Linked DNA regions of Drosophila melanogaster. The protein of the gene in region 2 purifies or fractionates together with the protein of the main gene of each other region. This does not show direct contact. Each region holds a gene or a part of one and is shown on either strand. Other genes may lie near its edges.

Region 1 (4,042 bases), on a different chromosome or scaffold from region 2:
TTTATTTACAATGCTTTCTATCTATTGTAAATCCCAAACGATACCGAAATACTGCAGATCAGCTCTAATTTAGTTTTTCATCCTAATCCTAACAATAATTTAATAACTCTTCTATCCAAAAAGTAGACTTACTGTATTTGAATCCAATTATTTTTGATTATCGTGCTAAGATGCTATAATAATATGTCTAAATATATATACAAACATATATATATATATATTTTGCATTATGATTATACAATTTTTGTTAGCGTTAACTATACAGAATGTTAAAAAAAGGCGAATTGAAAACTGAAACTATAGGAAGTGTACACTGGGTGCGTCTTATGAATAAAGAAAGACAAAAGAAAACCAAATAATTTATCGTTGAATTTTGAACCATTTGGAAAAGGTTGATGGCTTTTGTGGCGTGGTTTTTGTATTTATCTAATCGCTTCTGCATGTAGTTTGCTGTTCGATTTTAAGATACGAAACCAATTTTGATTAGGCCAATGCGTGAAATTGCTTTAGCGATTAGCACAATCACTAAGTGGTTATTTAAAAACGACTCATTTTCTGAACAGTAAATACATTTTATTTTTGTTAAAACGAAGCACACACCAACAAAACGAGCACACGTCATCTAGTCTAGAAAACACGATACAAATAGTTAAAACCCTAGCACGGCAATAATAAAAAAGTTCAAATGCACATACAAATATATATATAAAAATGAATGATAATACGGGAATTGTAATATATGAATAGGCTAACCATGCAAAACAATCGCACATTTTGATTAATTATAAAAAAGTGATTTAATTATGGGCACTTGGGAATACTTTAAGGGCAGCGGGACAAGAGAGATTTCACTTGGACTCCACTTGCGATGTGGCCTTGGCCTTATCCTCTCGAGCGCATTTGCGTATAACACTATTGAAGTACTTGTGCAGAGCGTAGCTAACTATTCGCAGTGGTCCCAAAACTATGGCGTGCAGAAGATTGGTGAAGAAGCCATCCCAAGGAAGCAATGCTCCACCCAAAGTGGTGATCAGCCAGCTTTCTGCTCCAACAGTTGAGGTGAATTTTCCCTTCTACAAATAAGAAAAAGTATTCTAGTTAGATTGCGTGAATATTAACTATGGGTAACAGACTCACCAGGGCATCCTTAAGTATAGCTTTCGCCATAACTTCCGGCTCTATGAGACCTCCTCCACCAGAGATTATTTTGGTTTCCCTGGGCTTTGACTTCTCCTCCTCCTCGAATCCGGGTGTATTCGTATCGCAGGGCATGGCCAGAGTGACGCTGACCCCGTGCTCCCGAGACTCCATTGCAATCGTTTCAGCCATCGCTCTCAGGGCGTACTTGGTGGCTGAGTAAGGACCGTATCCATAGATGCCAAACATAGCCGCCTGTGAGGCAGTGATTACAATAATGCCGTCGCCGGCTTTCTTCATTTTGGGCAGGACATAACGGGTGCAGTTATAGGTGCCGAAGAAGTTTACGTTCATCAGCTTGTGGACATCCTGGACTGAGACCTCCTCGAACACACCGCAAATGGCCATTCCGGCACAGTTTATTAAAGTGTATATGGGGCCGAAGCTATCTTCGATCTCGCCAAGCACTTTGGCCACCTGGTCATAATCGCCGCTTATGTCCAGACTTCTGTACTGGAACTTTTGATCTGGCCGCTGGCGAATCACTTCCATCAGAGCCACTGCTCCGCCTGCAAAAAAGATCGTATATCAAAGATAAGAGTATTTTGGGTGGGGTTTCCTAGCCAGAACATTACTCACTCAGCATTTTCTCGTCGCGCGCTATCACCGTCACATTGGCGCCTTTCATGGCGCACTCCACCGCCAGACAGAGTCCGATTCCCTTGGAGCCGCCGGTGACCACCACATGACGACCCACAATGCTCCTCGGTTTCTTGGCCATGACGAACACGTAGACCAGAACATGAACCAGCACCGCAATGCCCACGCAGAACACTATCTCCCAGCTCAGTTCCATGATGACAATTTCAAGAGGGTGCGATAATTCCCGGATTCTCTAATCTCTTACGCTGGCTTATCTGCACCCAAAGTTAAACGTCTGATTAGAAAGTGCATCTAAGTGTGACCGTTGACGCAAACCGGATTTCTATCGAAAGCTTTCGACGCACATCAGAGATGCAAATGTGGCTATAAGCGGCCAAGCAAATATTTTGTTCTTCAAAACTTTTTGTTTAATTTTATTCATAATAAATTAAATGTGCAATGGCTACCCATATGAATCAACAACATAAATATTTACTAGATCTTGAAATAAAGTGGTTTGATAAAAAAGGTTAGATCTTAGTGCGCAGCACTGACCGCATGTGTCTGCTCCAACCAAACTGTTTACTTGTTTCGAATTTGCAATTTAAAAACATTGAACGAAAATGCCACCGAAAAAGGATGCGAAGAGTGGAAAGGATGCAGGGAAAGGTGGCAAAAAGCCAGCCGCCGAAGACAAGTGTAAGTGCTTACGACTAAAGCAAAAATCCTATCCTTCAAATGAATTTTGCCATCTGCAGCTGCCGGTAAGGAGAAGAAGGGAGGCAATGCTGTAAAGGTTCGTCACATCTTGTGCGAGAAGCAGGGCAAGATCACCGAAGCGATGGAGAAGCTAAAGGCAGGCCAAAAATTCCCCGAGGTAGCGGCTGCTTACAGCGAGGACAAGGCGCGACAAGGCGGCGATCTCGGATGGCAGATCCGAGGAGCGATGGTGGGCCCATTTCAGGACGCCGCCTTCGCATTGCCCATCTCCACTGTCAACAATCCCGTGTACACAGATCCCCCGATTAAGACCAAGTTTGGCTACCACATCATCATGGTGGAGGGAAAGAAATGAACATTGATTTTATAAATCGAATTTTAATGTGATACGGATTTTGTTTCTTTTCATTTGTGGGTTCCCGAAATCCCGTTCACTTCTTGCCCGCATCTTCCTTCAATCCCACAGTGCGGTTGAACACTAGGTGGTTCGCACTGGTGTCAGGATCTACGGAGAAGAAGCCAATCCTCTCGAACTGGAACTTGTCGTAAACCTTGGCCTGGTTTAGGGCCCGATCCGCGAATGCCACCACCACCGACATGGATTGCTCACTGATGTCGCTCAGGAAACCGCCGGGCACCTCGTTGGGATCCTCGGGATTCTTGTGCTTGAAGAGCTGCTCGTACAGACGCACTTCCAGCTGTATCGGCTGCGATACCCACTGGACAAAAGCCTTGGGCTTCTCGGCCTGCTCGGCAGGTTGGCTGGTGCAGATTAGTTCCACCACCTGACCAGTCGCCGGATCCTTTACTATCTCATCCACGCTGATTACGAGACCCGCGTGCCGGAGACCCACAGATTGCTTCGGTGCCAGACGACGGTATCCCTTTTCAGGCTCCAACTTGAAGTCTCCCTGCTCAATATAGATCACCTTGTCTAGGGTGATCTTATGAGTTCCTTGCTGTGGGTTTTGCGGGAAATCAGGCACTTCTAGCTGCACGGGCGCTGCATGAGGGAAATTCTTTATGGTAACTTTGAGCGGTTCCAGGACAACCAACCGACGGGGAGCTGTAACATTTAGCACATCCCGCACTGCTGCCTCCAACATGGCGGGGTCGACGGCGATCTGGGCACCCGTTACGCCCATCTGGGCGCAGAAGTTGTTGATGGCCTCTGCTGGGAAGCCTCTACGTCTCAGAGCCGTCAGAGTAAACAGCCTGGGATCGTCCCAGTCGTGGACAATCTGCTCCGTGATCAGCTTTGCAATCTTGCGCTTTGACACAAGTGCGTAGTTCATGTTCAGCCTACCGTATTCCCACTGCACCGGGCAGTAGATACCCAAAGCGTTGCACAGCCAGTAGTAGGAGGATCGTCTCGACTGGAACTCCTTGGTGCACAGTGAGTGGGTTATATCCTCGAGAGAGTCACAAAGGCAATGAGTATAATCATACGTGGGGTAAATGCACCAGTCAGAGCCCGTACGGTGGTGTGAGATAAACTTAATGCGATACGCCACCGGGTCCATCTTGCCCTCCTCCAGGGTGA
Region 2 (3,973 bases):
ACGATAAAAACTTACGGAAGCATCCGTTTCCCTCGGCGACGCGGCAATCGTAAACCCTCCAACCTTAAACTTAAAACGATGTTTTATACCGGTCCACGTTAATGTTTCAAGTATGGACATTCCGAGGTTTTGATATTGCTCGTATAAAGAAATGTGTAAGGGGACTGGATCTGGCCAGTCGCCACTTGGAGCTGGTAGCATTCGGAGCGGAAAGATGAGTGCACCCACGGATTACCTGTTCTGCCCGCTGGCATATGGGTCAGCTCTTTCGGCCATCGGAATCTATCTGCTCCGGTGAGTTTTGTCCACTCTCAGTGATGGCCCTTTAACCTCAGCCAGTTAGACAATATATGCAGGGAGGTCAGTTCACCACGAAAACGAATGAGACCGGCAGAGTGGCGATTGTGACCGGCTGCAACCAGGGGATTGGCAAGGAGACCGTTCTGGAGCTGGCCCGCAGGGGAGCTACCGTGTACATGGCTTGTCGGGACATGAAGAAGTGCGAGAATGCCCGTCGGGAGATCATCAAAGCGACCAACAACCAGAACATCTTCGCACGCCAATTGGACCTGTGCTCCATGAAGTCCATTAGGAACTTCGCTGCTGGGTAAGCACATTCCTATTGACCTTAATGAATACACATATAAATAAAGGTACTCAATTTAATACTTTTTAGCTTTAAGCGGGAGCAAAACAAGCTTCACATTCTTATCAACAACGCCGGCATTATGGACTGCCCCAAAATGCTGACGGAGGACGGATTTGAAATGCAAATCGGAGTGAATCACATGGGCCACTTCCTCCTCACACTTCTGCTTCTCGATGTCCTGAAGAGTTCCGCGCCCAGTCGCGTTGTGGTCCTGTCCAGCATTGCTCACCGCTTCGGAAGGATTAAGCGTGACGACCTGAACAGCGAAAAGTCCTATGACAGAAAGATGGCCTACTGTCAGAGCAAATTGGCCAACGTCCTCTTCACCAGGGAGTTGGCGAAACGCCTGAGCGGAACAGGGGTCACGGTAAATGCCCTACATCCCGGAGTAGTAAACACGGAACTGTTCCGCAATACACCCTTTTTGGGTTCGTGGTTTGGAAAGTAAGTTTGCTGATTGCATCATCCCATCAGCTATTAACTTTCGGCTCGCCTTTAGATTGCTCATAGCCCCTATTATATGGATATTCATAAAGACGGCTAGGAATGGCGCACAGACGACCCTGTACGCTGCCCTGGATCCCAGTTTGGAAAAAGTATCTGGAAGATACTTCAGCGATTGCAAGCAGAAGCACGTGGGCTCGGCCGCCCAGTATGACGATGATGCCCAATTCCTATGGGCGGAAAGTGAAAAGTGGACGGGAATTAATATATGAGCAACTTTATGACTCTTTTAACTCTTACCCTGTATTGTTGAAATACATTTAATAGAATAAGCTAAATGAGCTAGATGTTCTGTTCAACTTTTGTAAAAACATTACAAACATTTTAAAAACATTTGGCTGGAAGTCTTGGAACCAGTTATCTGAGTAATCTTAAATAAACTGATTTAGTAATTGCATTTTTTAAATAAACATTTAGTTAACGTTGCCTTGGCGTCACTAGAATCTGAACTATTTAGCAATATATGATTTCGGTTTAAGTCATGAGCTGTCATAGAAGCAGGTGAAAAACTAATCGAAAATAATAGAATATAAATAAGAATAATAATAATAGAATAATATGGTATTATAAGATTAGGTATTAATTAAATTAGACTTGCAGATAGTTATTTAGCTTATCATGCATTTGCTCGACTTGCAATGAGGTTTTTATAAACTAGAAGCAAAAAGCTCTCAGCAAACCCCAAACATATTTCGTTCTCTCGCAGTTTCGAATCAAACTCATCGTGAGTAAGCGTTTTGTGGCTTTCGTGTATTTTGGAGCAGATAGCGTACATTTCGTATAAAAGGCAGTTCCAAACGGACGGGCAAACATTCATTGACAGAACCAGCAAGTGAAACGAACACAAACGGCGGCAAGATCTATACTGTATCCAAACAAAATGGGCTGCCTTACTAATTGCTTGTGCTGCCCCCTCATTTTTGGCCGTCCATTATCGGACTGGCTGCCTACTTGCTAAGGTATTTGCATGGAATAGTTCTACTGCTGAGTAATGATTAATACGCTCGTGAATTGCGGCCTGTGTTGAAATAGAGTGATAAGAATTAATGAATTTCAGAAAATACATGCAGGGCGGTCAGTTCACCAAGCAGACCGATGAGACCGGCAAGGTGTTCATTGTCACCGGTGCCAACACGGGCATTGGCAAGGAGACGGTCCTGGAGATTGCCAAGCGAGGAGGCACTGTGTACATGGCATGCCGGGATATGAACCGGTGCGAGAAGGCGCGCCAGGATATTATCAGGGAGACAAATAACCAGAACATATTCTCTCGAGAACTGGACTTGAGTTCGCTGGAATCCATTCGCAAATTCGCTGCTGGGTAAACGCAAACATGATAGATCGACGAATGCGTTACTGATTTCCCTCGTTTATTAGATTCAAGAAAGAGCAGGATAAGCTTCATGTCCTGATAAACAATGCAGGAGTTATGCACTGTCCCAGAACACTGACCAAGGATGGCTTCGAAATGCAGTTGGGAGTCAACCATATGGGACACTTCCTGCTCACCCACTTGCTGCTGGACGTATTGAAGGTATTTTGGGTACTCAGGACTTTCTTAGCACCTTGTTAACCAAACTCCCTGCTTAATCTCACTAGAAAACTGCACCCAGTCGCATCGTGAACGTTTCCAGCCTGGTGCACACCCAAGGTTTCATTAAAACTGCCGACCTAAACAGTGAAAAGTCGTACAGCAGAATCGGTGCCTATAGTCAGAGCAAGCTGGCCAACGTCCTGTTCACCCGGGAATTGGCCAAGCGCCTGGAGGGAACGGGGGTCACAACCAACTCCCTACATCCCGGTGCCGTGGACACGGAGCTGTCGAGGAATTGGAAGTTCCTGAAACACCCCTTTGCACAGTAAGATAGAAGACATAAGTGGGCACTACTTGAGTTTGATATTAACACTCGTATCGCTTAGGCTACTGCTCAAGCCCCTCCTGTGGGTACTCTTCAAAACCCCTCGCAATGGAGCGCAGACCACTCTCTACGCAGCCCTGGATCCTGCACTAAAGGATGTTTCCGGGCTCTACTTTAGCGACTGCCAGCCAAAGGAAGTGTCCGCAGCTGCCCAGGACGACAAGACTGGAAAGTTCCTCTGGGCGGAGAGCGAGAAGTGGACCGGCGTGAATTCAACCAAAGTTGATTAAGCAACCATTAGTTTATCCCTCGCCATTTCATAATTTATTATTTTAATAGCTTATCATAATGAAGACTAACGCAAAATGTAATAATTTATGTTTGAATTGTAGAATTCTTACGGATTCTACAAGCTGAAAATAAAGAAATGCTCCCAAAAAAGCTTTACCTAATCTAAAATTTGTATTTTGAGATCAACATTGTTGCATTTCTGTGTTCAGTACTAAAGAAAAATGGTCAAATTCTTTTGTTTTTTTTGTAAAAGTGATGGAATCAATTTGGATGATTCATGCTTTATTTTTGTACCCGTTATTCCTGGAGTAGGAGGGTATACTAAATTAGTTGGAAAGTATGTATGTAACATAACGAATCAGTTAGTTCCCTATATCTCGACGTTCAAACGGACGGATATGGCTGGATGGATCGTTTTGACTAGTGTTGCTGATCAAGTCTAAATATAAACTTTATTCTATATGTTACATACTGTTCAGCGAACCTATTATACCCTTTTACTCCACGCGTAATATACCCATTGAGTAAATATAAACATCAATGGAATTGCTTTTATTTGTTTGAATGCTTTCCACTATCATAACATATTATTGAGAATTCGTTTTCTCTTGACCTTCGTTAAGAATCTCTCTCCCGACGTTCTCCATTTCGTCAGGTTCTCACTCCGAAT

The links. The genes of interacting proteins can lie anywhere in the genome.
Region 1: the proteins of CG2065 (region 2) and Kdsr purify together in Drosophila melanogaster (affinity purification with mass spectrometry, with the first as the bait; one large-scale study listed by BioGRID). This does not show direct contact.

What each region holds. Positions count from the first base shown.
Region 1 is NT_033777.3:25,260,408-25,264,449, forward strand, and holds Kdsr (3-ketodihydrosphingosine reductase), read right to left. Parts: upstream 2,092-4,042; 5' UTR 1,994-2,091; coding exon 1,777-1,993; exon of another isoform or gene 1,775-1,776; intron 1,707-1,774; coding exon 1,138-1,706; intron 1,074-1,137; coding exon 849-1,073; 3' UTR 556-848; downstream 1-555. Other genes in the region: CG11858 (uncharacterized protein), read left to right, coding at 2,403-2,478, 2,538-2,854; GlnRS (Glutaminyl-tRNA synthetase), read right to left, coding at 2,931-4,042.
Region 2 is NT_033778.4:7,661,823-7,665,795, forward strand, and holds CG2065 (uncharacterized protein), read left to right. Parts: upstream 1-1,963; 5' UTR 1,964-2,112; exon of another isoform or gene 2,113-2,141; intron 2,142-2,210; 5' UTR 2,211-2,217; coding exon 2,218-2,474; intron 2,475-2,530; coding exon 2,531-2,687; intron 2,688-2,752; coding exon 2,753-3,012; intron 3,013-3,073; coding exon 3,074-3,302; 3' UTR 3,303-3,447; downstream 3,448-3,973. Other genes in the region: CG2070 (uncharacterized protein), read left to right, coding at 215-294, 344-607, 677-1,093, 1,149-1,365.